Linked DNA regions of Notamacropus eugenii. The protein of the gene in region 3 interacts with the protein of the main gene of each other region in a pairwise test. Links are inferred from orthologs where the notes say so. Each region holds a gene or a part of one and is shown on either strand. Other genes may lie near its edges.

Region 1 (6,974 bases), about 350 Mb from region 3:
TGAGCCACACAAGACACCCCTATGTAACATGTGGAAGGCAGTCTTTTCTATATGGTAACAACTTTTAGTGACTATCATGCTATTAAGGTGAAGCAAAATATAAATCAAAGAGATGTATTTTTGCCAAAGGTGTTTTCCAGTGTCATGGAAGCTATCTAGCATAGTCTCTAACAGGTGGCAGGGTCTTATGGATGTCATGGTGTATGGATGATCTTGTGATGATTGTAGAATATGCAGAATATGGCAATGTTTCCATAGCTATTCAAAAAGTTGAGTTTAATTATCTATGCAAAAACCCCAAGGGAATGAAGAATTTCTATTGTCTAGACTGCAATATGGAGTTGGAAAGACAGCCCCTAAATGTATCAGTATGCATATCTTATATATATATATACAGTGAGTTGGATTCATAGTTAGAGGAGAATAGGCTAGCTTGCTTTTGGGAAATTGCACAGTGCTTTTTTTTTTTAATGACCTCAAGCTTCTCCCCTGAGATAAAGACTCATCTTTTAAAAATTATATAAATAATATATATATATTTTTTCAGTCAGTAAAAATCTACCTTATTTTCTCCCCCAAACAAACCTCCCTGCCTAAAAATGAGAATTAAAAAACAACACCCTGTTGCAAACATGGTCAAACAAAACATATTTCTGCATTGAAGGTCCATCTTTTTAACAATAATATTCTCCTAGTGGTGCTGGATGTCTGTGTGGTATGAAAGCCAACAATTTCCAAAGACTTAAAATTGAGTGTTACCTGAAGAATATGAGGTGCATGGTGGTTGGGAGAAGGCTATACATTGTTACTAGTGAAGAATTGCATAAAAAAAGCATTGTAAACATTGTTGTCCAAGAGATAATAACTGTAAAAAGATGTGGACTGGTCATGTGACAAGAATGAGGGATAGTCCACAAGCTCCGCCAATATCCATTCATTGTCAAGATATTAAGGAGGCCTCCACCATTTTTGGTGCAGCACATGTTGAGGATTACTGAAAGGTCATGAACCAGAGATGTGAAGAAGGACAGAATAGTTTAAAAAGGTACCCACATTTATAAGATCACAGATCCATTAAAATAACAAAATATCAATGTTGACAAGTTTCAATTCATACAATGATATTTCCATTAGTTGGTTGTTGGACAATATTGTTGTTGTGGTTTGTCCTTCCTTCTCGAAGAGGACCATGCTATCAGGGAGATGATGATATGACTTGCAGTTGACTTTGATTTGAGTGAAGAAGGGTCGTGTAAGGTCACCAGCCTCACTTTCTCCTCCTGAGCCATCTGGGTCTAGCGGCCAGATATTCATCAGGGTGACTGGAGATGGCCCAGGATGCAATAGTGCTAGGCCTGAATCAGGAAGACCCATCTTCCTGAGTTCAAATCTAGCCTCAAACATTTACTAGTGGGAGGTAAGTGCTATTACTATGCATATTTGACAAATGAGGAAACTGAGGCAAATAGAATTTAATTAAGGCTAGGTTGCACCGTGGAGAGAGTATTGGACCTGGATTCAGGAAGACCTGATTTCAGATCCAGCCTTAGACATTTACAAGTTGTGTGACCCTGGAAAAGTCACTTAGCATCCATTTGCCTCAGTTTTATTAACCAGTAAAATTTGAATAGCAACAGCACCTACCTCTCAAAGATTTGTGGAATAAAATGAGATAACTTTTGTAAAGTCCAGGGCCTGGCACTTAGTAGGTACTTAATACATCTTCATTTCCTTCCTTTTATATCCATTCCAATGCCCTTTCCTTTGTACTATCATGCCTCAAATAGATCAATTTAAATGATTAATTATTACTCTGACTTTTCATGTCTATATTTCATGAAAGAAACATACCACGTTTTCTAAACTTTTACTTTAGTTTCTGAGTAAACCTCTTTTTGCAAACTGGGGAGAAGAGGCATAAGACCTAGGATTTGAATAATCTCATATTTAGAGTATCCATAACAAGATAATGTTTATGAAAAGTCTGAAAACTGCCTTTTCCACTATTTAACCATTATCCCTGTGGAATTAGAAGTAGTCCATATTGTACTCAGGGACCGTTTTTCATTTTTCTTTGTTTAATGTGTTGTTATAGCCAAAGAATTCACCATCTAACGGTCAACTTGCTGGTGAATGACCCCTACGTGCTTAGCTAGTTGGGCCTTGGATAGTAAACTGAGTTTCTTTGACTCTGTCTTTTGAAAATACAAATGCAAAAATATTGATTTCAAAATAACTCTTGTTAGGTACAAGTCTTATGTCACCTATGTGTTAAGAAAACCCAGGAGACTAAGATTATTGCTTCATATAACAGTGTTTAAAGGAATTCCTTTTTTTGTGGTGACACCATGTGTGTATACATCAGTATAGTCGTATTAAAAAAAAAATTCAAGGCTTATACCTATTGCTTAAATCTAAGGAACCAGTGTACTTCTCAGCATTGTTTTATGTGTATTCTAAATTCCTCTCTCCTGCTTGGCATTTTATATACCTGAATTGGAAGAGTGGAATGTTCTGGAAAATGGAACCTTGAAATGTGATTTCACTAGAAATACACCAAAATCTTTTTTTTAACCTTGATGACTTAAAGGTGCAGGTTATTTGTGATTTGTTTGTGGATCTCTCAACTCCCGAAAATTTTTTACTGAGAGTATAGTTTGGTTTGAAGAAAGGATTCTGTTGACTCTTTAATAAGTGTTCAATACAATAAAAATGGATGCTTAGTGTGGATATTTTCATAATTAACTTTTGGTCAATTTTTACTGCCATCATATTCTCCTGCTACACTTAGTATTTAGATAAAGAATAAAGATTTAGATCTTTGCTGATAAAACTCTTACTCATCTGATGTTCATAATGCCTAGATTATTTGTTTTAATACGTCATTACATCATTAGCCTAGAATTTCTTGGCTGTTAATATTATGAATTTGGTTAAAACAGCAAGTATAATTATAGAGTACATTCCCAGGAGTACTTTTCCCATCAAGATGAGCTCTGGTCCAATCTTTACTAGATTACTGAGTCTGATTTCTCAGCTTCACAATGTAGAGGAAAGTAGATAACTTGTAAGAGCCCAAAGGATGTTTACAGTTTCAAAAAATAGATCTGTAAGAGAGAGTCTAACTAAAGTCGGTGGCACAGCAGATAGAGCATCAGTTCTGAAGTTAGGAAGATTAATCTTTCTGACTTCAAATCTGTCTTCAGACACTTACTGTTTGACCCTGAGATTGTCACTTAGCCCTGAATACCTGAGTTCTTTGTCCGTAAAATGAACTGGAGAAGAAAATGACAAGCCACTCCAGTATGTTTGCCAAGAAAATCCCAGATGGACTCACAAAAAATCAGATATGATGGACCAACAGTAAACTGTACATACCCTTTGATCCAGTGATACTACTACTAAGCCTATACCTCAAATGGATAAAATAAAGAGGAAAAAAAAAACCCTCATCTGTACAAGAAAAAGCCGTGCTTTTGTAGCGGCAAAGACCTGGAAACTTAGGGGTGAACCTGAATCAGGGAATGGTTGAACAAATAATGGTATATAAATGTAATGAAGTGATATTGTGTTGTAAGAAACGATGAAAAGGAAGGAGAAACCTGGGAAGACTTATATGAACTGATGCAGAGTAAAATGAGCAGAACCAGGTGAACAATTACACAACTACAACATTGTAAAGGGAAACAACCCCGAAAGACTGAACTCTGATTTAATGTAATGACCAGTTGCCATTCCATATGCCCTTATCTATTGGGTAAGAACAAGCAAAAGGGGTGTCACCTCTTTTTTCATCAGGATTTTGAGGGGTTTCGAAAGCTGTAAACAAGCACAAAGCTGGGAAGGCATCCTCAAAAATTCTGGGGCCAGAAAATCCCTCAAGAATCTCCCAGTTGCATTGTTTGGGGGAGGGAGGAGGGGACGAAGAGGATGAAAGGAGGAGAGAGAATGCGAAACTGGAGACATAGATCCCTCACTGGGCTTGCCGAGTGAGGTGTCTGGCCGCTCTTGCTCCTTCGTGGGGTCAGCCCGCTGTGCCCCACGGCTGCTTCCTCCAGCAGCTGCCACCCGGGGGAATTGCGGCGGCTGCGGCCGCGCTTGGAAGCCAGGACGGAGAGGGCAGAGCAGTACTAGGAGGGAACGCTGCCCGGCTCTTGGCAGCGGCCGAGGACCGGGGAAGGAGAGCTCGCGCTCGCACAGACCCGGGCGGCCTTCAGGCTCCCTGAGAGCCCAGCGCTGCGCAAAGCCCTGTGCCGGGCTAAGCCATGGCTACTGACAGTAAGTCTCCCGACAATGCAGAATTGGGATGAGGGGACTGATTTGGGTAGGCGGGCGTCGTTGAGATGCCAAATCCTTCCACTGATCCCTTCCCCCATTTGCCTCCAGCTCCCCGCATCTGCCTCTCTGCCCCCGGGAGTTTGGGAAACAAGCGAGAGATGTGCTACCTCCCTGGCAACCAGTGCTTGGCACTGCATATATATACATCACCGAGGCTGCTCTGGCCCAGATGCATCTGAGTGTGGGAATGTGCTCTGTCCTTTGGGATGTGTGTGTGTGTGTGTGTGTGTGTGTGTGTGTGTGTGTGTGTGTGTGTGTGTATGTGTGTGTGTGTGTTGGGGGGTGGGGGATGATACTTGGAAACCGTGTTTGATGCTTTCCACGGTGAATTGAAAGTGGCTGTATAGCGCTGGACAGATACCCTGGTTGGTCAGGTTGAGAACCTATAGTTCCTCTGAATGGCAGATCCCCAGGACGCCCTCCTATCTTCCCACGTATCAGTTAGACTCCTGTTGTCTTTTCCGGTTTGAGGTTTGTCTTGGCCACAGAGAGTTCTTGTTTGGGTTCCTTGTATATATCTTTTAATAAAGTTAATAAGAAAATAAAATAAATAACGATAAGATATTTAATAAAAGTATTGACACCTTTGAGCCTTGCTTTGTGCACAAGCCCGAACCCTAAATATTTTCCCCAAAGCCAGGATCTTGTTGGCTAGGAAATGATTAGTAGTGAATTACATGTGGTAAGTAGAAACAATGCTGAATGGAGGAGGGCAAGGTCATTGTGCTGGCAAAGACATTGTTGGCACTTAGCATCATTGGTTACTTTCAGAGCTTTTGAAAATATAATCACATTTATGAAAGCCCATTAAGTCAAAAGCATACAGAAAGTATACAAGAAACATTTATTAAGGAGCCACTGTGTGCAGAACACCTAGCTACATGTAGGGCATATATGAAGACGTGATAGATGTGGTTCCTTACTTTAAAGGTGCTTATACTTCATGAGGGGATAAAATACCAGTTCATATGTTTTAATATGCAATTTACATAAATGAGGACCAAGAGTCCGTATTTATATTTATGTACATAAATAGAGACAAAGCAAGTTTCTTCTGTGTAGGTCCTTAAAGGATGGTTCTTATTCCTTTGGAGGCTCAAGGAAGAGGGGACTCAAGGAAGGCTTTTTGGAGGAGGTGGCTACTCCTCTGTGACATGAAGACCTGACTGGCTCAAAGAAACCCATGTCCTGTGGTGTGAACTGGGGTATTAAGTATAGACAAGAGCTGTAGTTTCTAGGAGTAGACTTAGGGAACTCTGGGTATGTTCAGCTGTTGGAACAAGTCATCCTATAGGAGAATTCATGTGCCCTCTAGACTTACTCAAGATATTCTGTTTTAATTAAAATTTTCAATTTTATTACAAATTTGGTAAACTTCAAAAGATGTGAACATGTCAATTTACAAAGAAAAACAAAAAATAGGATTGTGTATGAAGCTATGAACTTCTGTTATGTATGGATATCCCCTCACTAGGTATAGTTTGTGGGTTATTTTTTTTTAACATAACTGAAATTTAACATGGCAGCTCAAACCCTGCCCTGCTTTTCCATGTTCCCTTTTGAACTTCTTACTGTTCTCTGTTTATTTTAAATGGCTCACATATACTATTTTCTTTTTTTCTTTCTCTTTTGTATTCCTAAATGTCATTTTATTTTCACTCCAACTCTGGAAGGCAGGTACTATAATTATCCCTGTTTTACAGATGAGGAAATTGAGATAGCTTCTAAGTTTCTGAGGTTGAATTTGAACTTGTTTTCCTGGCTCCAGGTTTAGTCCTTTATATACTGGGCCATCTATTAGCTGCCTCTACTAGTGATGATCTGCAGCATTTTTTTCACATGATTGTTGATAGATTTCATTTCTTCATTTGAGAAGTGACTTTTCATATCTCTTGACCATTTATCTATTGGAGAATGGCTCTTGTTCTTATATTTTAAATCAATCCTCTATGCTTCTTGAATAGCACACATTTATTAGAGAATGTTGCTATACATATATTAAAATGTTTATTTTCTCCTTTTAACTAGATTAATTTTATTTGCAAGGAAATTTTTCAAGGTTATTTGATCAAAATTGCCTATTGATTAACTCTTCTAGTTTTTAAACAGTATGGATGGTTTTGAAGATTACTACTTTGTAACAGTTTCAGATGGAGGCCTTCTTCCTCTTTTCCTTTTCCCTTTTAAATTATTTCCTTTGGGATTCTTGATGTTTTATCCCTCTGCAAAATTTTATAAAAATAATACACACACTGATGAAGGTATGAAAAGGAAATATAGACAAGGCTTGGGAAACAATACTCTATAGAAGACTACACCTTTAAAATCATGCAATAGACAAAAGTAGGCAGAGACTGCTGTGATTATTGTTCGTTGGCTATAGAAAGAATTGATTTAGGTAGATCAAGATGCCATCTTAAAGGCTCTCCTGCAAGCTGGCTTCTGAGCCTATGTCAAAATCATTTAAGACTCTTGGAAAGATGTAAAAAAAAGTACAGGAAGGGGAAAATGGCCTCTAGTTATAAAAGCATTTATAGTAGCTCCTTTTTAAAAAAAATGTACTTCATTTATTTATTTATTTATTTTTAGTTTTCCCTTTTACTAGATTTTGAGTTCCAAAATTTTCCCCCTTCTCA
Region 2 (7,075 bases), on a different chromosome or scaffold from region 3:
CTTTGGTCCAGTCTAACCTTCTCATCTTACAAATCTAGAAACCAAGGCCCTGAGCAGTCAGGTGACTGGCCCACTCCAGGCTATCCCCCAGTGGGGTGCACTTATCAGAAATGGGGGTATTGGGGAAGGGCAGCCCTTGCTACGTGTCTGCTGAGCACCTGCAGACCTGAGTTCAGCTTTTCCCTGCCTCAGTACCTGGCCTTTCATTCTCGTCCTCAGGCTCTTCCCGGCCCAGCCGCTCCGCTGGCAGAGGCTGGGGGAGGTGGGCATCTTCCGAGGGCGATGTGGGCACCAGGGGTGGCGGGAGGATGTGCAGGTCACTGGGCTCTAAGGGCCGGGTCACGTCCCCACCCTACAAAGGACTGAGTTTGGATCCAGGAGCAGTGCTCAGAGATCCCTGAATCCACCCAAGGGGAAGACCAAGGCAGGAGTGATGGGCACCAGATGGCTCCCAGGGAGGGGGAGGCACGTACACGGAAGAATTCCTTGAGCTGTGGGCTGTTGTTGAGGGCAGGAATGTTGACAGTGAAGCGCAGCATGGCCTCCGCCGCCTTCCGCCGCTCCTCAATCACTGAGGCTTCGAATCGGCCTGTGGTCAAGGACACGCCAGAGCCGTTAGGCCTCCTTCCCCTCCCCCTGGCAGTGGCTAGGCTGGGGGGCCTACACCGGCACACCATCAGGCCCCCACCAAACAAACCACCCACCAACGCTCTTCTGTTCTGGATCAAAACTTGTGTTTCTCCGTTGACTATGACACAGCCCCATCCCATGATTAGTGTGGAGGCTAGGCCAAAGCTGCCCTGGGGGAGGTGGGCAGAGTCCACTTCTGGCTGGGGGTCACAACCCAGCATGGGGTGGCCAACGCAGTCTGGGCCAGTGCTCCCCACTGCCCACCCCCAGGCCCTGTGGTCCAGGACAGTTTTGGACAAAGCAGCCACTGAGGCTGGATGTCTGAGGGCTGGACAGCTGCTGGGGCCAGACAACTGTGGAGGCTGGACGACTGAGGGCTGGCCCGGCCTCGGACACTCACCAAAGACCTGTGCCCGGGGAAAGGTTGGGAATTCCTCCAGGCGGCGGAAGAGGTTTCGGTGGGTGTAGGCCAGGTCCCCATGCAGGCGGCGGAAGTCGCTGTAGCGTTTCCAGATGACCACCTGGGCCCGAGCGGGACGCAAAGCCACCGTCTGGCTCCCTCCTTTTGCACTCAGGGAAACTGAGGCCCAGAGGGGACTGGACTGGATCCGGGCAGTTGGCCGTTCCACCCCCCGCCCCACCCTGGGCTGCCTGCAGGAGACAAGGGTACCCGCCCCCCACCCACCCCAACAGTCACCTCCTTGACATCCTCTTGGTTCGTCTTGGAGATGAACTGAGGAAGAAGAAAGCCAGGGCCAGTGAGGGGCTAACCCGCTTGGCCCCCCAGCCCTGCCCCAGGCTCAGCCCCCCAAGACCCCCCCACATCAGAGGACAAGGCCACCCTTGCCTCCACAATAACTGGGGAGAAGAGGCCATTTGGTGGGGGAGGGGAGTGGATCCTAGATGGAGGAAGACCTGAATTCTAATCCAGTCTGAGGTGCCAACTGGGTGACCCTGGGCAGATCATCTGACCTCCACTGCAAATGGGGATGACAGCATTCCTCCCCCCCAAATGGGAAAACGTGTAGGTCGCGGAGGGCCCCCAGACTCAGATCCTCTTGGGCAAGGGAGCAGCAGCCTCCCAGGGAGGGGGTGGGGCTCGGCGATCGCCCCCAGGGCACTGAGCGGGACAGGTGCGTGGGGCCCCGGGGGCCCTAGCACAGGAGGTTTTGGGGAGAAAACCCCCCAGCCGACGCCATTAATGACTTAGTGAGCGGAGGAGAAGCCGGCCAGGAAGCGGCGCTGCTCAAGTCCTACTAAGCGCCGGGGACGCTAAGCGGGGCTCGGACCTCCGGGGGTGCTTTCACCGCCTGCGACCTCGGCTGCCTCAGCCACCCTGGGAGGGGGTGCCCGCCTCACAGAGGAGGAAGCTGAGGCTTCCCCAACGCGCCCCGCCCTCCCCAGCCGCCCCCGGTGTGTTCCGGGCCGCAACGGGGGTCATTTCGCGAAGGGAGGCAGCAGCTCCCAGCTCTTTATTAACCTGTTTGCGCAAGGTGGAGGTAACCCCAGCCAAACAACTCTGCAGCTAGGCCCCGCCCATGCTGGCCCCGCCCATGCTGGCCCCGCCCCTTGCGTCTCCGTTAAAGGAACCCAGATTAGTCTTCCCTCCCTCCCCCGTAAATTAGTATAGTCCTAAATTCGCTCAGGGGCTCCACCCCTGCCTGACTCTCGAGGATGGAACGGTCCGGCCCCGCCTACTTAAAGGGGCTTCTTCTTCTTCTTCTTCTTCTTCTCCTCCTCCTCTTAAAGGGGCTTTGCGGTCACTCACCTGCGCCGTCACTTTGTACTCCGTGTAGCCCTTGGGATGGGTCCGCGTGTCCGACACTGTGTACAGCCGCCGGTAGTCGTCCTTAGCCTTGAGGGACATCCTCGAGGAGCCGGAGTCCGCAGGACTCCGGCGCCTCGGCCTGGCCACGGGCCTCCTCTTCCACGCTGTCCCCTCCCCTCCCCTCCCGTCCAGCCTCCGACGGGCACCGCCTCTTCTGCGCCTGCGCAAGGCTCTCCTTGGCCTCTCTTCCTGACTCCTATGCCCCTCCATGGTGCACGCAGGGACGGTCCTAAAACTCTTTGTTCTTTGGAAAGGCGTAGAATGAGCTACTCCGTAGGAAAGGCCGCCCCCTGGCGCCTGGGGAAGGCCATCGGTGCCCTGGACTCCAGGCAACAGGCATTCATTAAGCACCTACTGCATATCAGGCCCTGAGATAGACTTCAGGGAAAACCCAGCCCACTCCCACGTGGGGAAACTGAGGCCCCGGACGGCGGAAGACGTCAGGCTGGCACTGATGAGTCCCCTGGTGGGGCCGCTGAGGCCCTCACCCCCCTCCAAGCCCACTCCCCCAACACTTCAAGGGCCACTGAGAACCAGATCACTTTAGGCCACTGGTTTACTGCGAGCTGGGCCAAGGCCAGGGGCCTGGAGGGTGGCGGGGCAGGCCCAGCTTCTTCCAGGTCCTCATCCACACCAGACAGTTCTAGAGCTGCCTTCTGGACTTGGCCTTTCCTGCCCTCCCTCAACTGCTGGCAGAGTGGGCCACCCTTCTCTTTGGGAGCATGGGGAGGGAGTGTGGAAGCTCCCTTGACAGCAGAGGAGCCTGGGAGGAAGAAGAGCAGCCAGGAGCGAGGGGCACAGAGGACTTTATTCCCACAGCTGATCGGAGGAAGGGGCCCTCCCGGAGTCTCCCCCAATCCACAGACAGAGAGCTGCAGGAGGGACAGAAATAGGGAATGGGGGCCACTCCTCCCCAGGGAGGAAGGCTCTCCAACAGAGCAGCAGGGTCTCTCCTGTTAAATAGCACAAGCAGCATCTGGTTATGACAGGGAGGAGGCATTAGTTGGGGTCCCTTGGGCTTCCGTTCCTCCCCCCCCCAGTCCTGGCTCCCTGGGGGGCCCTGGATCAGAGAGAAGCAGGACAGAGGGATGGTTTGTGGGAGCTGGAGATGTGTGGAGGGGCTGCCCTTCAGCTGGGTCGAGGGGTCAGTCCAGGAACCGGTGACCCAGGGCAAGGAGGGGAGGGGTCATTCTGAAGTGAAGATTCGGCTGGAGATGTCATCCAGGAGCCAGTCAACCCCCAAAAGCAGGTTTTCCCCCGTCACTGCACTGCAGCCCTGGATGCACCAGTGGTGACTGCGGATGGCATTTAACTCCAGGATCTGAAGGAGGGAGAGTGACTCTCAGACAGCAGCCCTCCCAACCCTCCATCCCATCCAGCCACCTGGAGGCCTCAACTCACCTCTCGAATGTCATTAGATGAGAGAGCCCCAGGGAGGTCCTGCTTGTTGGCAAAGATCAGGAGAGTGGCTCCAGCCAGGCGCTAAGAGGGAAAGAAAGGTGGTGGTAGGGCCAGGAAGGAACCTGGGAGCTCTGAGCTAGCCAGCCTATGAGCCACTGTGAGCACCACTCCCAGGGCAGCATTAGGGAAAGGGACGTGAATGGGGTTGTGGGCGCTTGTCAGTGAGATACGATGACAAGAAAAGTCCACAGGAAACAGCTGCCTGGTCTTTGAGCAAAGAGCTGGACTGGGCATCTCGCCCAGTCTTGGGCTGCCTGGCATCCCAGTCCCCACCTACTTCTCCAGCTTTGTCATGTGACTCCCTGCACCCCCCCCCCCCCAATTCATTCTCTTCCATTTCTGGCCATCTGCCCTCCTCACTCCATAACCTCATCTTACAACGCTTACTTCCTGTTCTGCCTCTGCACTTGTCTTACCCTCCACTAGACCAGTCCTCTCTGAGGACTTTCTCATATCTTTGCTAATCTCTGCTGCCTAGCGCAGTATCTGGTAAACAGCAGGAAACGAATGTATGCTGATTCAAGTTAATGTGGACCTGTGATCTTTTTTTCAACCAAGCAAGCATTTATTAAGCCCCTACAATGAGCTAGGCATTCTGTCATGTGGTGGAGATCCAAAGACAGGAGCTCCTTCTTCCCTGTGCCTCAGTGTCCCTTTCTGGTAAGTGAGAAGGCAGGGCCTTCCTCCTCAGACTCCTCCCACTTGACAGCCCCCAGGCTGGCGCACCTCTTCCACGAGGAGGCTCTCCAGCTCCCGGCGGCAGTCCTCCATGCGCTGCTGGTCAGCACTGTCCACCACCCAGATGAGGCCGTCTGTGCTCTCAAAGTAGTTGCGCCAGTAGGAGCGGAGGGACTTCTGGCCTCCCACGTCCCAGATGTTCAGCTTGAACCTGAGGAGGAAGGGAGAGAGGGTGGATGGGCGCGGCCGGCCCGCGCTGTGCGCCCAGCTCCTGGGGAGGGGCGTCCCTCACCCTCGGTGCTCCAGGGTCTTGATGTTGAAGCCCAGGGTGGGCGAGATGGTGTCGATGTCCTCCCCGTTGAACTTCTTTAGGATGGTGGTCTTGCCTGCGTTGTCCAGACCGCTGGGGCGGCAGTTAAGGAGCCTCGGAGGCAGGACCTCCCAAGGGAGGGAAGTGACTTGCCCAAGGTCACCTCGATCCTTCCACAAACTAGGTGCGCACCTACTGTGTGCCTGGCACTAGGGGCACCAAGATGAACAGTAAGAAACCCGCTCGGGCCCTGCCCTCGAAGAACTAGCCTAGCACAAAGTGAAGCTCCCTATGAGAGGGAAGGCAACATGCATTCATGAGGCTCCTACTGTGTGCCTGGGACACACAAGGAGGCAACGAGCTGGACTTGTGCTCCGGGGACTCCCGAGATCCAGTCTGCTAGGGTCTAGCCCAAATCCCGGACCCTCCATCTCCCGCCTCCCCGCCAGTGCACGCGAGCTCCCTTCCATGCCCCCGGGGTAGTTGGCCCATTCCACTTTTCTAGCCGCACCCCCCTCTGCGTGGGGGCAGTCCCTACAGCCTGCACTCCCCCGTTTTTGTCCCGGATGGTACGGACCAACTCCCAACCCACCGCCTCCTAGGGCTATTGGTCGATCCCGGCTTACGTAACCCGCGCAGGGTAGTTGGTACGATCCTGCCCAGAGCGGCGCGTCCTCCCTCCCCCCACCCCGGGGGAGCGCGTGGTAGCGCCCGCCCGCGCCTTTCCCTGGCCCCCGGCCACCCAAGGGTTCGGGGAGCTCGAGGATACAGCATGAGGAGCCGCAACTCCCGCTCCTTCTGCTTCATCTTCTTCAGGATGGTCAGGAGCCCCATGGTCCCAGCCTCCCCTCCCCGCCGCTGCGCCTTCCTAGTCCGGGACCCCGCTCCCCCCTCTCATTGGCTAGAGCGCGCCTCACCGGAACCCGATTGGCTCGGCCCTTGTTTGAGCCCGCCCCTTCTCGCCGGAGCCGGCGGCAGGAGAAGGCACCGCCCTGCTGGGCGGGGGCGGGGCTACGGGGGCGGCTGGGCCCAAACTGGCCCGCCCCCGCCGCTTAACCCCTGGTGTGCCGGCCCGGGACGGGAGGGCGCCGCGAAGAGGTGCATCCCGATTCACATCGCACCCCTCTACTTGTGGAAGGGGGCTGGACACAGAGCTGGGTTCAAGGGCAGGCCCTCCCCTGAGCGGGGTCAGCCTAGTCCTCGAGGTCCGGCGGATGGGCTTCCCTCCCACCTCTACCCCTGGATCTTGGGAGAAGGAAATGAACAAAGACTTCACTTCCCATGAGGCGCCGGGAGAGTCTTTGGACTCCATTTCCCAGAAGGCCGTGTCGGGTCAAGCCCTCCTTATTTAGTGCCCGCGGTTTGCGGAGAACTAAAGCAGCGGGCATACCTAAGGCCCGGCAGGTGCCTGCCCTGGAGGCGCTTACCATCTGATGCGGAGACCACGTGCCCGCTGGTGCCTACAAAGCAGGCTGGAGGCAGGGTAGATGGGGAGGCGCTCACGGAGGGAGGCGCTGGGGAGGGTCCCCTGTAGAAAGTGGGGTTTCAGCTGGGGCTAGCAGGAAGTCGGGGGGCAGGGGTCGGCCGGGGAGGCTGCCCAGAGCCAGGAGAGGCCGGGGTCCCTGACTGCGGAGGGAGGAAGGTGTAGAGACAGAGGGGGGTAGCCCTCTGCACCCCGGGCCCCCCACTACCAGTGCTGGGCGGGACAGCCCCGCCCCCCGCGCAGCTGCCCCTGCATCCATTTGAAGACTCTCCTGCAGGGTTCCCCCAGCCCCCCTGCTTTGGGTCTGGTCTAGAGCCTGGGAGGGTTTTGGGCAGTAAAGGCCAGAGCTTGATAACCCTTTGTTATAACCTTTAGATTGTTATAGTTTGGATTAAGAAGAGCCTGGACCTAGTGGTCCTTTGTTTAACCTAGAGGACACCTTTTGGGGACCCCCTTACCAAACCCTGCTGGCATCTTAGCGATAAGGAAAAACCCAGATCTCTTGGGCTGTAACTTGGGCTCTGCCAGCTCCAAAGGCCTGTCCAGGTCAGGGTGTCTGTCCGCAGGGCGGTGGGACTTTCTCCTCCTCTGATGTCGGAGGCACGCTGCAGAAAGAACATGCCCACGGCTCGGGAGCTGCTCTGTCCATCCCCTTATCAGATGGACGACGTGTGCATCCAAGAGA
Region 3 (7,200 bases):
TGTTTCCTCATCTATAAAATGAAGTAAATGATTGCTAATGTCTCATTCAGCTCTAAATTCTATACACTTCCATGGATTTCAGGGCTAGTTTAATAAAACATGATACTATGTGAAACAAAGAACAAACAACATTCCCAAATAAATTGCTCTTGGTTTTGGCAAACACTAACTGTGAAGATGACTGTAATGTTTTTTATAATTCGATTCAATATTGTTTGCAGGCATTCATTTATGTGGGACTTGTCATATTAATGTCACTCTTACAAATATCTGCATATTCCTCATGTCACCCCCCTCCTCACCCCCCCCCCCCAATTTAAGCTCCTAGAGGGCAGGTTCTGTGTCATTTTTCAATTTGTATCTCTCTCTCACAGCATATTTCACAGTGTATCTTTAATAAAACAGAACTGAATAAAGGTCATCTCCAAATAAGCAAGTCTTCCCCTTTTTGCCCTCTGAACCCATAAGTCAGCAGGATACTAGGAGAGTTTTATCAATAATCACTTTTCATAAGTTCAGTTCCTTTCCAAAAGTCTTTGTAAGATCGCTAAATAATATTCTTTTGTCTAAGGTATACTGTCTCCATATTTCAAATTACTTCTCTTTCATACTTTTATTTTTCCATCTTTTCCGACATCTCCCAAATATATCTGATAGTCTCCACAACCAAAAGTTTCTGATACAAAATATAGGAAGGTGAATGACTAGCCTCATTATTTGGATATCCTTTACACCTTAATAACATTTTCTTTTGTGTCTGAGCAAAATACAAAACACTCAAAGAGGTCTTTTCTTAGTTTCTCATTAGGGAAAAAAAAAAATACTACAGTGTGACCTTGAACAAGTCACTTTTCCTCCGAGGCTTGGTTTTCCCTTTCTGTAAGATGAGGTTAATATCTTGGTAATCTCTTTAACTCCTGACGGGTTCTATGGTTTTATTAATAAATTCTGCAGGAGATTACAATGGCTAGTTCTTGACCACCTACATAATTGCTATACTGATAAAATTGCTTCCTTTCCCAGCAGTATCTTGTATTAATCAAAAAATCCAAGCCAATAAACAAATGAAGTTTCTTGAGTTTTTAACAAGCTTAAGTTTCCTTTCAAAAGGAACTCCTGGCTAAGATGGAAGATTCATAAAAAATAAAAGTACTACATATTCAAGTATTCAAATAAGAGTTGAAGTAATCTTCACAAGCTTTACAGAATTCAGTCTTTTAAACTAAAAAGAATTCATTGCTACCAATCGATCCAACATAAAAAAAAATCCTGCATAATAAAATGCTGCAAAGAGAAGTACCAGTTCAAATGCCCGGACAGGAAGAAAAATGCTTTAAATCTACCACTACCCAAAGAACCACTGACATCTCAAAAATGTTATTTTTCTCGATTGGCTGGTTCTATTCCAAGAATCCACAGGTTCGGGGGCTTTTTGCTTCGTCTTTTAGCGTCAACCATTTTGGCTTTTTCAGGGACCGCATGCGCCTGTACAGGTTCCCGCAGCCCGTCCCACGCTGCGGCAGACAGCCGGCAGGTGTGCCCCTCCTGCCAAGGCACGACCCAGCCAGGGCTCCAGCAGCTGCCAGCACAGACGCCACATCATAGGCATCAGTCCGGGAGAACTGGGCGGTGGCGACGGCCCCCCCCGCCCCTTCGGCACCGCTGGGGGCGCTCTTGCCGGCACCACGGAGCCAGAGGCGGGCCCGCCGAGGGCAGGCTGCAGCGGCGGCAGGAGGGCGCCCCTTCCCCAGCATGGGTCCGGGCACCACGCTAAAATCCAACCCCCCCGCCCCCCCTCTCCATTCCTTCATGTACGCATCCTCCGAGGTCTCTCCCGGCCCGGAACAAAGAGGGAAAAGGGAAGGGAAGGGTGTGGGGGCCCTGCGGGGCTGCCACAGAACGCACATGGCCCCAGCCGCCCAGGCGCAGACAATAAAGTCGGAGGGAGGCCAGGCTGACCATCACCACCATGACTACCACCACCATCGCCCCCCCCGGCCCCACCCTCCTCCCCCGACCTCGCTCCCGCCAGGGGCAGACAAAGCTCTCGGGGGGCAGAAAGGGGGCTCCACACCCAAGGAGGTGGGAAGGGCAGCGGGCGGGACCCCCCTCCCCCACCTCCCCCCGGGCCGGACGCTCACTCACCGGCAGAGCCCGAGGATCCGCGGCGCTTGGGCGCGGCCGGGGTGGAGGGGGGCGCGGCCGGAGCCGGGGTGCTCGGGGTCCAGGCAGGGGGCGCAGGATCTGGGTGGGGGCCCACGCCGGCCGTTGGGGGAGGGGGAGGGGGGCGGGAAGGAGGCTCGTCTTCCTCCGAGGATGCGGCAGCGGCTGCGGAGGGCGGCGGGGACGGCGAGGACGAGGACACCGGGCTGGGCTCCCAGCGGGGCTGCCGCTCGGCGGCTGCGGGGGGCACCGCGGGCAGGGGTCCCCGGGGGGCCGGCGGCACCGGCTCCTTCTCGAAATCCAGGAGGGGCGCGGCGCCGGCGGCGGCGTTGGACGGCGGCGGCGTCGCAGTCATGCCGGCGGCCGGCTTCCTCTCCAGCACCTCCAGCTCCTCCAGGTCCTCGTCCTCGTCCTCCTCTTCCTCCTCCTCCTCCTCCTCCTCGTCCTCTGGGTCCTTCACGAACTGATACTTGAACTCTGGTTGAGGCCGGGCCGGGCCCGCGGCGGCGCCCGAAGAGGAGACCAGGGGCGACTGGTCCAGGTCTTCCATGGCCGGGCTGGGAAGGATGCTGCTGCGGCCGGGCTGAGGGACGGGGAAGGGAGGCTGTGGGGCGGGGAGGGCTTTCTCTTGGAAAGCGCCGAGAGGAACGGAGACGGGGAGTGACTGAGAGACTCCAAGAGAGAGGCGCTCAGGGGCGCGGCGGCTGCGGAACAATGAGTCGGCTCCTCCTGCCTCGGCGCCCGCAGCTGCGCTGCTCTGCGCTGCGCCGCGCCACCCACCAGCCCCCAGGCCCCGCCGCCGCCCAGACCGAGGAGGGAGGGAAGGAGGAAGGCGGAGAGAGGCGAGATGGCAGAGCCAAGGCACTCTCCGCCCAGTTTGGCGCGACTCCGGCGGGGAGAAACGCGGCACTGGGCGGGGCGGGGCGGGGCTCGAAAAGAAGGGCCGGGCCTGCGAAAAGCACGAGCCAATAGGCGGTGGGATCCGGGGAAAGAAGGGCAGAGCTGTCCAATGAGAACGAGAAGGGGAACCAAGGGGCCGGCTTTGCAGCCCCACTCTAGCCGCGGGAGGGGAGGAGGGGAGTGAAGTTCCATGGGAGGGGCTTAGGGACCAGGGGATTTGGCCCAGGCCTCCTGGGGATGCTGGCCTGGGCTAGGGCTGGCTGCCTGGACTGGGCAGGTTTATCGGTTAAAGGGTGGGAGAAGTACCCCGATATGGGGACTGGGAGGCATTTGGAGAAGGGAAAATCCTCCCTCGCAGAAAACGGAACTGGAAAAAATAATAGGTGTAATGGATCCTGGAGGCGGGGAGAGTCTTTTAATTCAATAAACAAGACAGACTTAAAAGACTTAAAAATGCCAAAGTGATTTCTTCCTCTCACTGAGGAGCCCCCCAAAATTAACCCCCATATTCAAGAAATCTCTGTGCCCTCCAGTCCGTGACCTGGGATGCAGACAGAAGACGCCAAAGCCTTGGGGTGAGGGCGGGGGGGAGGGGGGGGAGGAGAGAACGAGCGGTTCCCTCCCTGCCAGGACGTTGTAGCCCATCCTGCCTGCGCTTGGCCTTTTCACATGATGGGTAGATGAGTCATCCGGGCGGAGGGTGGGAGCCGAACGGGAAGACCTTTGCCTGTGTCTGGGAGCTAACTAGATTCCCGTTACATTCCCAGCCAACTCAGTTTTGTCATTAAACGTTGCTGAGGATTGCAGGGGTCTGAAGCTCGGGGTGCATTCAGTGCTCCACTTTATTTGTAGGAGGGGACTTGGCCCTCTTTTCACTTTCTACAATGCTTGAAATTTGGAGAAACTGGTTCCAACGTATCCAAGCTAGGAATTTAGATTTTCTTTGTTTCCAATGTAGTCTTCATTTCCAAGGTGTCCCCCTCATTTGCCACTGGGAATTGCTGGTTATTCAGAATGATCTTTTAAACAAAACTCAAACATGTCCAAAAGATGACTCTTGTAAATGATCTTGACTAAGGCTGAAATTGACTATGCAGTTTCATTCCAGGAAGAGGGAATGTTGAATGTATCCTTTTTCATGTATGTGAATATGATAAACTTCTCTACTTGGCCAGATCACTTCTCTAAGGCAGATTAAACATAAATTATGAAACTTTATGGCCCAGGACTTTCCCACAATTGTAACTTGCCTTTAATTCAAAGATTCAATTCAACAAGCATATAAGGGCCGGTGGCCTCATCACCTAAGTTATCTCATATTCATTTTGGATTTTTCTCTATGTACTGGGACATGTAGATGCAAGGGCTCTTTCATTTGTGGTTTTGTATCCCCAGTACGTAGCCCAGTATAAAGTCTTGTGGACTGATTGATTGATGGTCCACTGTGTTCAAACTACTGTCCTAAATAGTGGAAATAAAAAGATGAAAAACACCACTGCCCTTGTCATCAGAACAATGATCTGGAACAACAGAAAAGCCCTCTGGGACCATCTAGTCCAACTCCCTTGTTTTTCAGTGGAGCAAACCAAGAGCCAGGGATATTTCATGACTTGCTCAAAGTTTGGAAATTAGAACTAGTGCTCTTTCTATGACAGCAGAGGTAGCAGGGAGTACAAGAAGGACACAGGTAGAATACAAAGTTAGTTTGTGAAAAGGACAAAAGAGAGATTCAAAGGACTGGAAGAAAATTTGAGGAGAAAAGAAAACACTTTCAGCTAGAGAATGGAGAGATCAGGGAAATCATCATGGCACAAGTGATGCCCAAGCTGGACCTTGAAGAGAAGGAGGCTCTAAGTTTGAGAGGGTCCTAGCATAGGACATGGCATAGCCAGATAGCCCTTAATACTTGTCACTTCAGTGCCCATTGATATTGCCTTTTAAGTGATTAAAAACAGTTTTAGGAGACAGGTGAAAAGGCAACCAGAATTGTGAAGAGATATCAGTTTATATCACAGTTGGTCAGTTGAAGGAATGGGAGTGTTTAGCTCAGAGAATTTAATTCCATAAACATTTGCTAAGTACCTAATACGTGCCAGGCTCTGTGCTAAACACAAATACAAAAATACAAATACAAACACAAATACAAAAAGAGGCAAAAGACAGTCCCTGCCTTCAAGGAGCTTACAACATAATGAGGGACCCATGCAAACAAACATATACAAAGCAACTTCTTCAACCGTTCTCCAACTAATAGGCATCCCTTCACTTGCCAATTCTTTACTACCACAAAAAGAGCTACTCTAAATATTTCCGGACATGTAGGTCCTTCTTCTTTGATCTCTTTGGGATATAAACCTAATAGCGGTATTATTGGGTCCAAGGGTGTGCACTTTTTTTTAGCCCTTTGGGCACAGGGTTTTTTTGTTGTTTTTTAAATAACATGTTGAACTTATTACATATTTTTTAAAAAGAGCAATCTGTAAAGCATATATATTTGTAGCATCATGTACAGTCTTCTTTTTCTATTCTTTCTATATGAAAATGCTCATCTTATTTGGTATTAAGTTCAGAATAAAACATTTTTTAAAAATAAATTCAACAAATGTTTAGTGGGCACCTACTGTGTGCCCAGCATAATACTAGATTCTCTGATGGATAGAAGAGTTCTTTGGAGGCCTTTTGTACTGAATACTCTTTTTTAAAGTTACATGTTGAATTTATTTTATCTATTTTTTAACTTTTCTTGATTACATGCATAAACAATTTTTAATTCTTTTTTAAAATATTTTTTAAATTCTTTTTTTAAAATTTGAGTTCCAAATTCTCTCCCTCCTCCCACCCCTCCCCCACTCATTGAAAAGGCAAGCAATTTGCTATAGCTTATACATGTGCAGTCAGGCAAAATATATTTCCAGATTAGCCATGTTGCAAAAGAAAACAGACAGAAAAAAGAGGGGAAAAAGTTTTTTTTTTAAATGGATGTTTTGATCTGCATTCAGACTCTATCAGTTCTTTCTCTAGAGAAAGCATTTTTCATTTTAAGTCCTCTGGAATTGTCTTGGATGATTGTATGACAAAATAGCTAAGTCATTCACAGCTGATCATTGTACAATATTACTGTTATAGTATACAATGGTCTGGTTCTACTTACTTCACTTTGCATCAGTTTATATAAATCTTCCCAGTTTTTCTCTAAAAACCATCCTGCTTATCAATTCTTACAGCACAATAGTATTCTATCACAATCATATATCACAATTTGTTCAGTCAATCTCCAATTAATGGACGTTCCCTCAATTTCTAATTCTTTGCCACCACAAAAAGAGCTGCTATAAATATTTTTGTACATATATGTCCTTTTCCTTTTTCTTTGATTTCTTTAGAATACAGACCTAGTAGTAGTATTGATGTGTCAGAGGATAGGCATAGTTTTATAGCTCATTGGGGATAGTTGCCAATTGTTCTCCAAAATAGTTGGACTAGTTCACAACTCCACCAATAATGGTATTTGCTAGTGTCCCTATTTTCTATATCTCCTCCAGCATTTGCCTTTTCCTTTTTCTTTCTTGTTATCCAATCTGATAGATGTGAGGTGGTACCTCAAGGTTGTTTTCATTTGCGTTTCTCTAGTCAGTTGTGATTTTGAGCATTTTTTCATATGACCACAGATAGCTTTAATTTCTTCTAATCAAAACTTCCTGTTCATATCCTTGGATCATTTATCAATTGGGGAATGGTTCTTTTTATATATATATATATATATATATATATAAATTTGGCTCAGTTACCTATATGCTTGAAAAGTGAGGCCCTTATCAGAGAAACTTGCTATAAAAGTATTTCGCAGTTAACTGTTTTTCTTCTCATTTTAGCTGCATTGGTTTTGTTTGTGTAAAAAAAATTATTTCATGTAATCAAAATTATCCATTTTACTTCCTGTGATCTTCTTTTTCTCTTGTTTGGTCATAAACTCTTCCCTTATCCATAGACCTGACAGGTAAATTTTTCCATGCTCCCCTAATTTGCTTATAAAATTACCCTTTATGTCTAAATCATTTACCCATTTTGACCTTATCTTGGTATATGGTATGAGAGGTTGCTATGCCTAGTTTCTGCCAAACTGCTTTCCAGTTTTCC
Region 4 (7,431 bases), on a different chromosome or scaffold from region 3:
AATGCCTAGAGAATTAAGTTCAAACTTCTCTCTCTAGTATTTAATGTCCTTCATAATGGAACTCCATCTTATTTATCCCAACCAGATTATACTACCCTCCAACTTAATTTCTGCCAAACTAGATCTCATCTGCTGTTCAAAGCAAATTCCACCAAGTTTCCCTGAATTTCACATAATGATGACCCCATATGTATGGTGTCCCCACATGTAATGCCACTGGATCCTACACTACCACTTATATATTATTGTCTCCCCCAGTGAATCTATCAGCTTCCTGGAGGCACAGAACATGTCTACATTTTATAACTCAAACATTACCTAAAAAAGTTTAAGTCACATAGTACATACTTCAAATACTTCTTGAATAGTACCATTTCCACAAATTCCTTCTGAGGTAAAGTGTAGTCTACACAAACCACGAATGCAAATAAGATACTCACCTAGCTTTACAAATGCATTTACTAAATTCCAAACTTCTAGCATAACTACTTTATACTACTGAAAATCCCCACTGTACCTCACACAGATATTCATTACAACTGTTGATAATCAGAATTACTGTTGGGAGAGTCAGGTAGGTGAAACTATATCCTTGTTAAAATACTCCAAAACTGCTTAAGAAAATTACCTACAATTTCATGAGAAAAGTGCTTTCTTGACAGTTAAGTGTAGTTTCTTCATTATATATAATTTCAAGGCAATACAAGGTAGTCTAGGACTATACCTGGGTACAGGTTCGAAAACCTGGATTCTTCAGTTATTAGTTCCTTGATCCTGAATAAATTAATCTGTTTGACCCCCCCCATCCCCTCCTCTGTAAAATAAGAAAGGTAAAGTAGATGCTCTCCTGAGCCCCTTCCACTTCTAACATTTGTTGACTCAATACAGAAACTGAATTTGAAAATAAATATTTTTAAGGCCTTAATTTCTAAAATTTTTTTTGAAGGGGGAAGGCAAGGCAACTGAGGTTAAGTGACTTGCCCAAAGTCACACAATCAGTAAGTGTCAAGTATCTTTAGACCCCATTTGAACTCAAGTCCTCCCGACTCCAGGGCTAGTGCTGCATTCACTGTGCCACCTAGCTGCCCCCTTTAACTTCTAAAATTTGAAAACTGAACCTTAACCAGAAAAAGATTAAAAAAGTTTGTGAGAATATTCTCTCAGTTTACAAGAGTGTGTGCGGGGGGTGGCGGTGGTGCCGAAGCCATTAAAATCATTTGTACATTTTGTTAAGGACTTAAAACTAGCGTTTGGTAACCCCTCCAATTTAGACAGAGGAGGCAGCAGTCATGTGGAGGGTTGTGCCCACAATCAGTCATAACCGTGGGGGCAAGAGGCCGAGGTAGACAGGTGTATTTGGGCATGTGGCTGCCTGCGTGCGTGCGTGGAGATTGTGCCTAGAAGCAGATCTTCATCCCACACAATGAAATACTGTGAGATGTTGCTGCTCACGCTTATCAAGAGCAGGAGACAATCAAACGTTCTCACCGTCTCTACTCACATGGATTTTGCTTTGGCATCCCCAGCACAGTCCCTGGTAAACAGTAAGTGCTCAATAAACACCTGACTGGTGGGAAGCGCTGGTTATTATCCGGATATCCCAGTAAAGTTTTTCCAAAGCCTATTCAAGTGCTCAGAAGCGTCCGTTCAGCACCCTGAGATGAGAGACCCAGGGATCCTAAGGTGGGGTGCGCTTAGGGCTCCAGAAGCTTTTCAGCGTCCCAACACAAAATACCCTGTTCAGTCTGCCAGGACCTGAATCTCGCTTTTTAAACCTCTTTCACTCCAGTCCATGGAGGGTAAAGATACCCCGAGTCTCAGGACGCCACGAAATAACCCCCAAACCAGGACCACACGGTTCCCCAGAACTACGAACTATGGAAGGAAGCCCTGGGGGTTTCCCAAGGCTCCGGGGCTGCACATGACCTGGCACCCCAAGACTAGGACCACAAGTACCAGCCCGAGTCCTTCGCGAGGCCCGCAGACACCCCCCAAGTCGGCGCGGCCAGCGCCCCGAGGATCCCCGCCCAGGAGGGTCGGGCTCACTCCCCCCTCCGCCCCCCATGGATCGCCCCAACTTAAAGGTCGGCTCGGGTCTGACGTGTCCCAGGTTATTACGAAGGTTTCTCGGGTGTCTGTCACGTGCACACGAGAGGCGGGGCGGGGGCGGGGCAGCTGTCTCCAGTCCTACCTGGGGCTAACCTGGCAGGCCCCCCCCTCCTCGGAGCTCTGCCCCGGCCCCGCCCCCGGCCCGCACCTCCGCGGCCTCCGCCCCGGCCCCCAGCACGACACCTTCCGACGTTTGGGGGTGCGGCGGCAGCGCCCCCACGCCGGGTTCTCCCGGCCCTGACTATGACACAATTCCTGTCACCCCCCCGGCTGCGGGGGAGCCCCGCTATCCGCCCCGGCCTCCCCAGCGGCGGGGACCCCGCCCGGCCCGGCCCACGCCCCCCGGCCCCCGGCCCGGCCCTCCCCGGCCCGGCCCTCCCCGGCCCTCACCTTGCTCAGCACCCCGCAGAGCTCCACAGGCGGCCCGGACTCGGTCTCCGGATCCTCCTCCGAGCCCGACGAGTTCCAGCTCTGGTTATCCGACATGGAGGCGCGACAGCCGAGCAGGAGAGCGGCCCCCGCGGCCTGCGCTGCGCCCGCACAGGCGCCCAGCCCCCGGGAGGGAGGGCCCGGGGTCCGCCCCGGCGCCGGGGGCAGGAGGAGACGGCGCGGAGCCCGAGCGGCCGGGCGCCGAGCGGACCGGGGACGGGGACGGGGAAGGGGAAGGAGAAGGAGCGGCGAAGGCAGCTTGCCCTTCCAGCCGTCGGCCGCCGCCGTCCCCCCGCACTCGCCGGGCGCCGCCACCGAAGGCGCTCCCCCGTCGGTGCCGAGGTCGGGGGAAGAAGGGGTGGAAGGGAAGAAGGTGAGGGGAGGGAGGAGAACACGCAGCTGCAGCGACGGGGCTTCGCTCACACCTCCGCCGCCGCCATCTTCCCGGCTCTGGACACTATTTACCCTCCCCCTTCTCTCTACCCCTCCCCTTCAGCCCTCCCATTCTCCCCGCCCCCTCCTCGACCCGCCCACCAGCGTGTGACGCAACGCGCACGGCTCGAGCCGGCGAGGGGCGGGGCCGCGGCTCTGGCGGAGGCGGAGAGACGGCCCCTAATCCCAGTCCGCCTCCCGGCTTCTGGTAACCGGGAAGATGCGAGGCAGAGAGCGGGGTTGGTCGCACTGCATCTTGGGAGGTGTAGTGTTCCGCCGAGCGCGCTGCTCGTCGGGAGGTGTAGTTGCGGTTCTGAGGCCCTTCGGTGAGTGGATCCGGCGGGGGTGTCTCTTTATACTGGGGCAGGGGGTGGGCATCCTTCGCGGCCCCTGGATTCTCTTCCCACACATACCCTCTTCTCAACCCCTGGCCCAGAGCGTTTGTGAGGAGCCGGCTGGACCGGACCGGATGGGACCGGACGTGAGCTCCTTCCCGTAGGTTCTGGAGAGGCCGAGGCACCCTGAACGCCTTCGGAGGGCTCTGGGCGCTTACGCCGCTTCGCGCCCCACCTCCCTGGGGGCAGCCAGATGCCCCGCGTAGGCCCCGAGCGGCCGGGCCCCGAGCGGCCAGGCCCGCTGTGCCCGGGTGTCCGTGCGCGTGCGCACGCCTGGAGCCCCGGTCGTACGGCGGAGGATGCCCGGGCATGTAGGGATGCTGCGGGAAGCAGGTGACAGGCAGAGGCGAGCAGGGTACCACTGGCGCCTGAGCCTCTCGCGTGGGGGCGTCTCCGGGGCACGATGCCTTGCGCCCTCCGGGTGGTTAAGTCAGACGGTGCAGCTGGCTTCCACCCCCCAGCCCCTCCCCCCCGGGGCTCCTAAGGGGTGAGCGGGAGTTGGCACCCTCAGTATGAAGTACAAGGCTGGCATTAGGGCAGAGTGCCCGGGCTGGCTTCAGAGAGCACTCGTGAAACTGGAGATGACTGCCCTTAGCCACCCCCCCAGAGCAGACCTTCTGCCCCAGGATGGTCGTTGCTTACATTTTGTAGCCTAAAACATGCTTTATTTTGTGCCTTGTTCCCCAAAGCTGATTTGAGGGTGCCCGGGATGCTGGTCGACCTAAACTGTGTTTTTTGTGGAGCCTCAGAATTACGTGTTTTGGCTGTGTCAGACTAGAACCGCCTTACCCCTAAACTCCAGAGGAAACGCGAACGTTTCTGGAAGCCTTGTTTATGGGGGTGTGTGTGCGTTGTTCAAACACTTCAGTTAGCTGTATGACCGTGGACAGGGTGTTGTGGCAGTTTTACGGGAGCGCCTCTTGTGCCTCTCTTACCCCATGGTCGGTTTTGATTTCCTGACTTAAAAATCATGAGTTTCGGTTATGTTTTCTTTCTGGCTAATATGTGAGAGATACCTGTTTTACAGTAAAATCTTCAGGTTGTATTCACATAGTGTGGAACCAAGTTCAAATTAGTATCTTTATTGAACTGAAAGCTTATAAAAATAAACCTAGAGCATTAAAAGTCACAGCTGTCATTCAGAAAATAAGATGGAAGAGCTCTTTCATCTTCCCTGATCCAGAATGTTTTTCAAGCATAAGAGATATTCTGATCAAATTTTGTTTTTAACTGCGTATTTACTGATGCTGTTACCAAGCTGGATTTTTAAAAACATATCTCGTATTTAAAATTGTGATTTTTTTTCAAATAGACAATGAGTTATTAAGAAATTGATTTCATAATAGTTCATATTTATAGAAGCATCATATATTTCTTTAAATTCTTATATTTTGTGCATCTTAAGTTAATTATACCTTTGTGACTATCAGCAGTTAGAGCTGTGGTAGTGCTTACTCAGTGTGAAGTTACTTTGTGTATTAATATGAAAATTTTTTTAAAGGTTCTTGCCGCTTTGTTCCTCTATATAATTAAACTCTTTTCAGGTTTCCAAGTACAAGACCTCTTTACAGTGATTTGAATACATAACAATGAAGATTTATTTTATTACTGTCTTACTATCATCTTGAAGAAATTACAGTAGAATTATCTTTAATATGAAAGTATTATATAGACTTCCTATCTTATATAGTAAGGGAGAACCTACAGTCATTCTCCTATTTACTAACACCAGTTCAACAATATTTCTCTCATAACTGTCATCCCTGCTAAACATAACTACAAAAACACCCCTTCCTTTCTCTCTACCACCTCCTTCCCACTGATTGCTGCAGACCCTGTTTCCTGTGCCTCTCACCAGCCTCTCACTGCCCTTTCCTTGCCCTGAGTTTTACTTCCTTGGGGTAGTCACTCGCCACCAAAACATCACTTATCCAACACTAGGTAAAAGAAGAGGAAAGGAACTTTGAGCAGTAGGTCCCTTTTTCACTCCTCTCTCTCATTGAAACAGTTCTAGCTTCTCACTAAAAAGGAGACATGAGACCGTTATTTTTAAAAATACACTTTCTTGATGCTTTCGGTTTTTATATCACTTTCATTTTCTACCCCCACCACACTCCACCAGTCACATTCTCCTGTGACAAAGAAAAACAATTTTATAAAGACTGAATCTGACACTGTGTAAGATTCTGGCCTAATATTAGGTTCTTCCACCTCTGCCATGAGTGAGAATTGATGTTTCATTATCTCTTCTCCAGGACTTTGATGGGCTTTTCATTTAATTAGAATTTGACTTCTTATTGGTGGTATTTTTATTACTGTAGTCACTGTGTACACTGTTTACTTTGGGTCATTTCATACAGATTTTCCCACATTTCTCCGAATTCCATGTCCATCATTTCTTAGTGCACAGTAATATTGTATTATTTTCACGTACCATAGTTTTTGTAATCATTGATCACTTGAAGGATAATGACAGTCTCCAGTTTGTTGCTACCAATATTTATAGCAGAGTGTTCCTCTAAATATTTTTCATATATTGAACCTTTGTTTCTATCTTTGATTTCCTTGGGATATATAACTACTAGTGGGATTGCAAGATCAAAGATATAAACAGTTTAGTTACTCTTCTTAAATAATTCCAAATCAAAATCCAGAATGGCTGGACCATGCATGCCACAGCTCCCCCAGCAGTTTATCATTGGGCCCTTTCAGCATGGACTGACTGTTCCCATCTTTTGTCATAGCATAGCCATGTGTTTGTGTGAAGGAACACATGTAGAGACCAGATTTATGTACCTATGTATATGAATGGGAAACAATATATGTAATGGCATTATAGAGGGATTTGTAGAAATAGTTGTAGACATTTGTGTTTATACATGTATGTGTATTTCAAAAGGTAGAATGTTCAGTTGTATAAATGTGTTAGTGGATAGCTATCTTTTTAATACTTGGCTGCATAAAGATAAGCAGCTGTTAGAAACATTCATCTGTGCACATTTGTGCAAACTGTTAAAGAAGCTTCTTCTGTAAGTATGTGTGTAAATATTTGTATCCACAAAATGGGCGATCACGTATGTATGCAGGTATATTTGAGGGTGACCGACAGCCGTGGTAGGACACAGAAAAACACTTGGGAAATTGGAAACCATCTCCGGTCCCTGTTTATTCCAGTCCCAGATCAGAGGAGCCACCTTCTATGTCTTGGAGATGAAAGAAGTTTCTGTTGTCAGGCTGTCATGTCCATGGAGGCAGAATGTTCCTGACTTACCAAAGTGGAACTGGAAACATACTTTCTCATAGAAACGTTGTTATGAAATAGCAACTAGGTCCTATAACATTATTAGTACTAAATCAGTAGTGGCTACATTACTGATTAAATAAATAGACTTCTTTTTTTTCAGCCTGGGAACTTATTGCTGTGTTGATTGTCTGGAAAAGTATGAGGCCCAAAGAACATACTCAGAAAGACCTGTTGGAACATAACTTGTTTATGGACTTGGGACTGCCTTATGTTGATTTCTTATTACTCATAGAGAATTTTAAAAATTGAAGGAAACTGAGAGATCATGTAATCTAACTTTTTCATTTCATACGTAAAGAAACTGAGGCCCAGTGAGGTAAGGGGGTCTTGCCCCCAAAGTTACACAAATATTAAGTGTCAGAGAGTGGCTCAAATTTAGACCTTCTGAATCAAAATCTGATACTCTTTCTACTGAACAACCTGTAGTATATGCAGCTGTTAAGTAGCATATGCCTAACAGAGTTTAGGTAGAAGAATTTTATAAAATATTTATAAAATATTTAAAATAAAATTTGAAATGTATTTAAATTAGATGACTGGCCAAAATATATTATATACTATATCTATATCTATATCTCTATATTAGACTAGATAATTATCTCTTTAAAACAAAAACATCAATTTTCTCCAATATATCTTTTAAATAAGGAAAAAAGAAAAGGCTTATTGTTGACCTTTTATCAATCACATGTAATTATTAATACTTAATTCTATATATGCCATAATTATGATTTGTATATTATACATAACATATTGGCTATA

The links.
Region 1: the proteins of RTN4 (region 3) and SYT16 interact in binary tests that used the Homo sapiens proteins (3 or more experiments, as listed by UniProt). The link is inferred for Notamacropus eugenii from reciprocal best matches to the Homo sapiens genes RTN4 and SYT16.
Region 2: the proteins of RTN4 (region 3) and SNX15 interact in binary tests that used the Homo sapiens proteins (3 or more experiments, as listed by UniProt). The two-hybrid records come from large-scale screens. The link is inferred for Notamacropus eugenii from reciprocal best matches to the Homo sapiens genes RTN4 and SNX15.
Region 4: the proteins of RTN4 (region 3) and CERT1 interact in binary tests that used the Homo sapiens proteins (3 or more experiments, as listed by UniProt). The link is inferred for Notamacropus eugenii from reciprocal best matches to the Homo sapiens genes RTN4 and CERT1.

What each region holds. Positions count from the first base shown.
Region 1 is NC_092872.1:305,332,851-305,339,824, forward strand, and holds the start of SYT16 (synaptotagmin-16), read left to right. Parts: upstream 1-3,972; 5' UTR 3,973-4,265; coding exon 4,266-4,278; intron 4,279-6,974. UniProt on the Homo sapiens protein: May be involved in the trafficking and exocytosis of secretory vesicles in non-neuronal tissues. Is Ca(2+)-independent.
Region 2 is NC_092873.1:17,764,115-17,771,189, reverse strand, and holds the start of SNX15 (sorting nexin-15), read right to left. Parts: upstream 3,003-7,075; 5' UTR 2,669-3,002; coding exon 2,399-2,668; intron 1,364-2,398; coding exon 1,328-1,363; intron 1,152-1,327; coding exon 1,031-1,151; intron 590-1,030; coding exon 474-589; intron 353-473; coding exon 196-352; intron 1-195. Other genes in the region: ARL2 (ADP-ribosylation factor-like protein 2), read right to left, coding at 3,645-3,779, 3,860-3,940, 4,646-4,808, 4,890-5,000, 5,677-5,741. UniProt on the Homo sapiens protein: May be involved in several stages of intracellular trafficking. Overexpression of SNX15 disrupts the normal trafficking of proteins from the plasma membrane to recycling endosomes or the TGN.
Region 3 is NC_092872.1:651,279,908-651,287,107, reverse strand, and holds the start of RTN4 (reticulon-4), read right to left. Parts: upstream 3,024-7,200; 5' UTR 2,714-3,023; coding exon 2,146-2,713; intron 1-2,145. UniProt on the Homo sapiens protein: Required to induce the formation and stabilization of endoplasmic reticulum (ER) tubules. They regulate membrane morphogenesis in the ER by promoting tubular ER production.
Region 4 is NC_092875.1:468,909,124-468,916,554, forward strand, and holds the start of CERT1 (ceramide transfer protein), read right to left. Parts: upstream 3,003-7,431; 5' UTR 2,596-3,002; coding exon 2,500-2,595; intron 1-2,499. UniProt on the Homo sapiens protein: Shelters ceramides and diacylglycerol lipids inside its START domain and mediates the intracellular trafficking of ceramides and diacylglycerol lipids in a non-vesicular manner.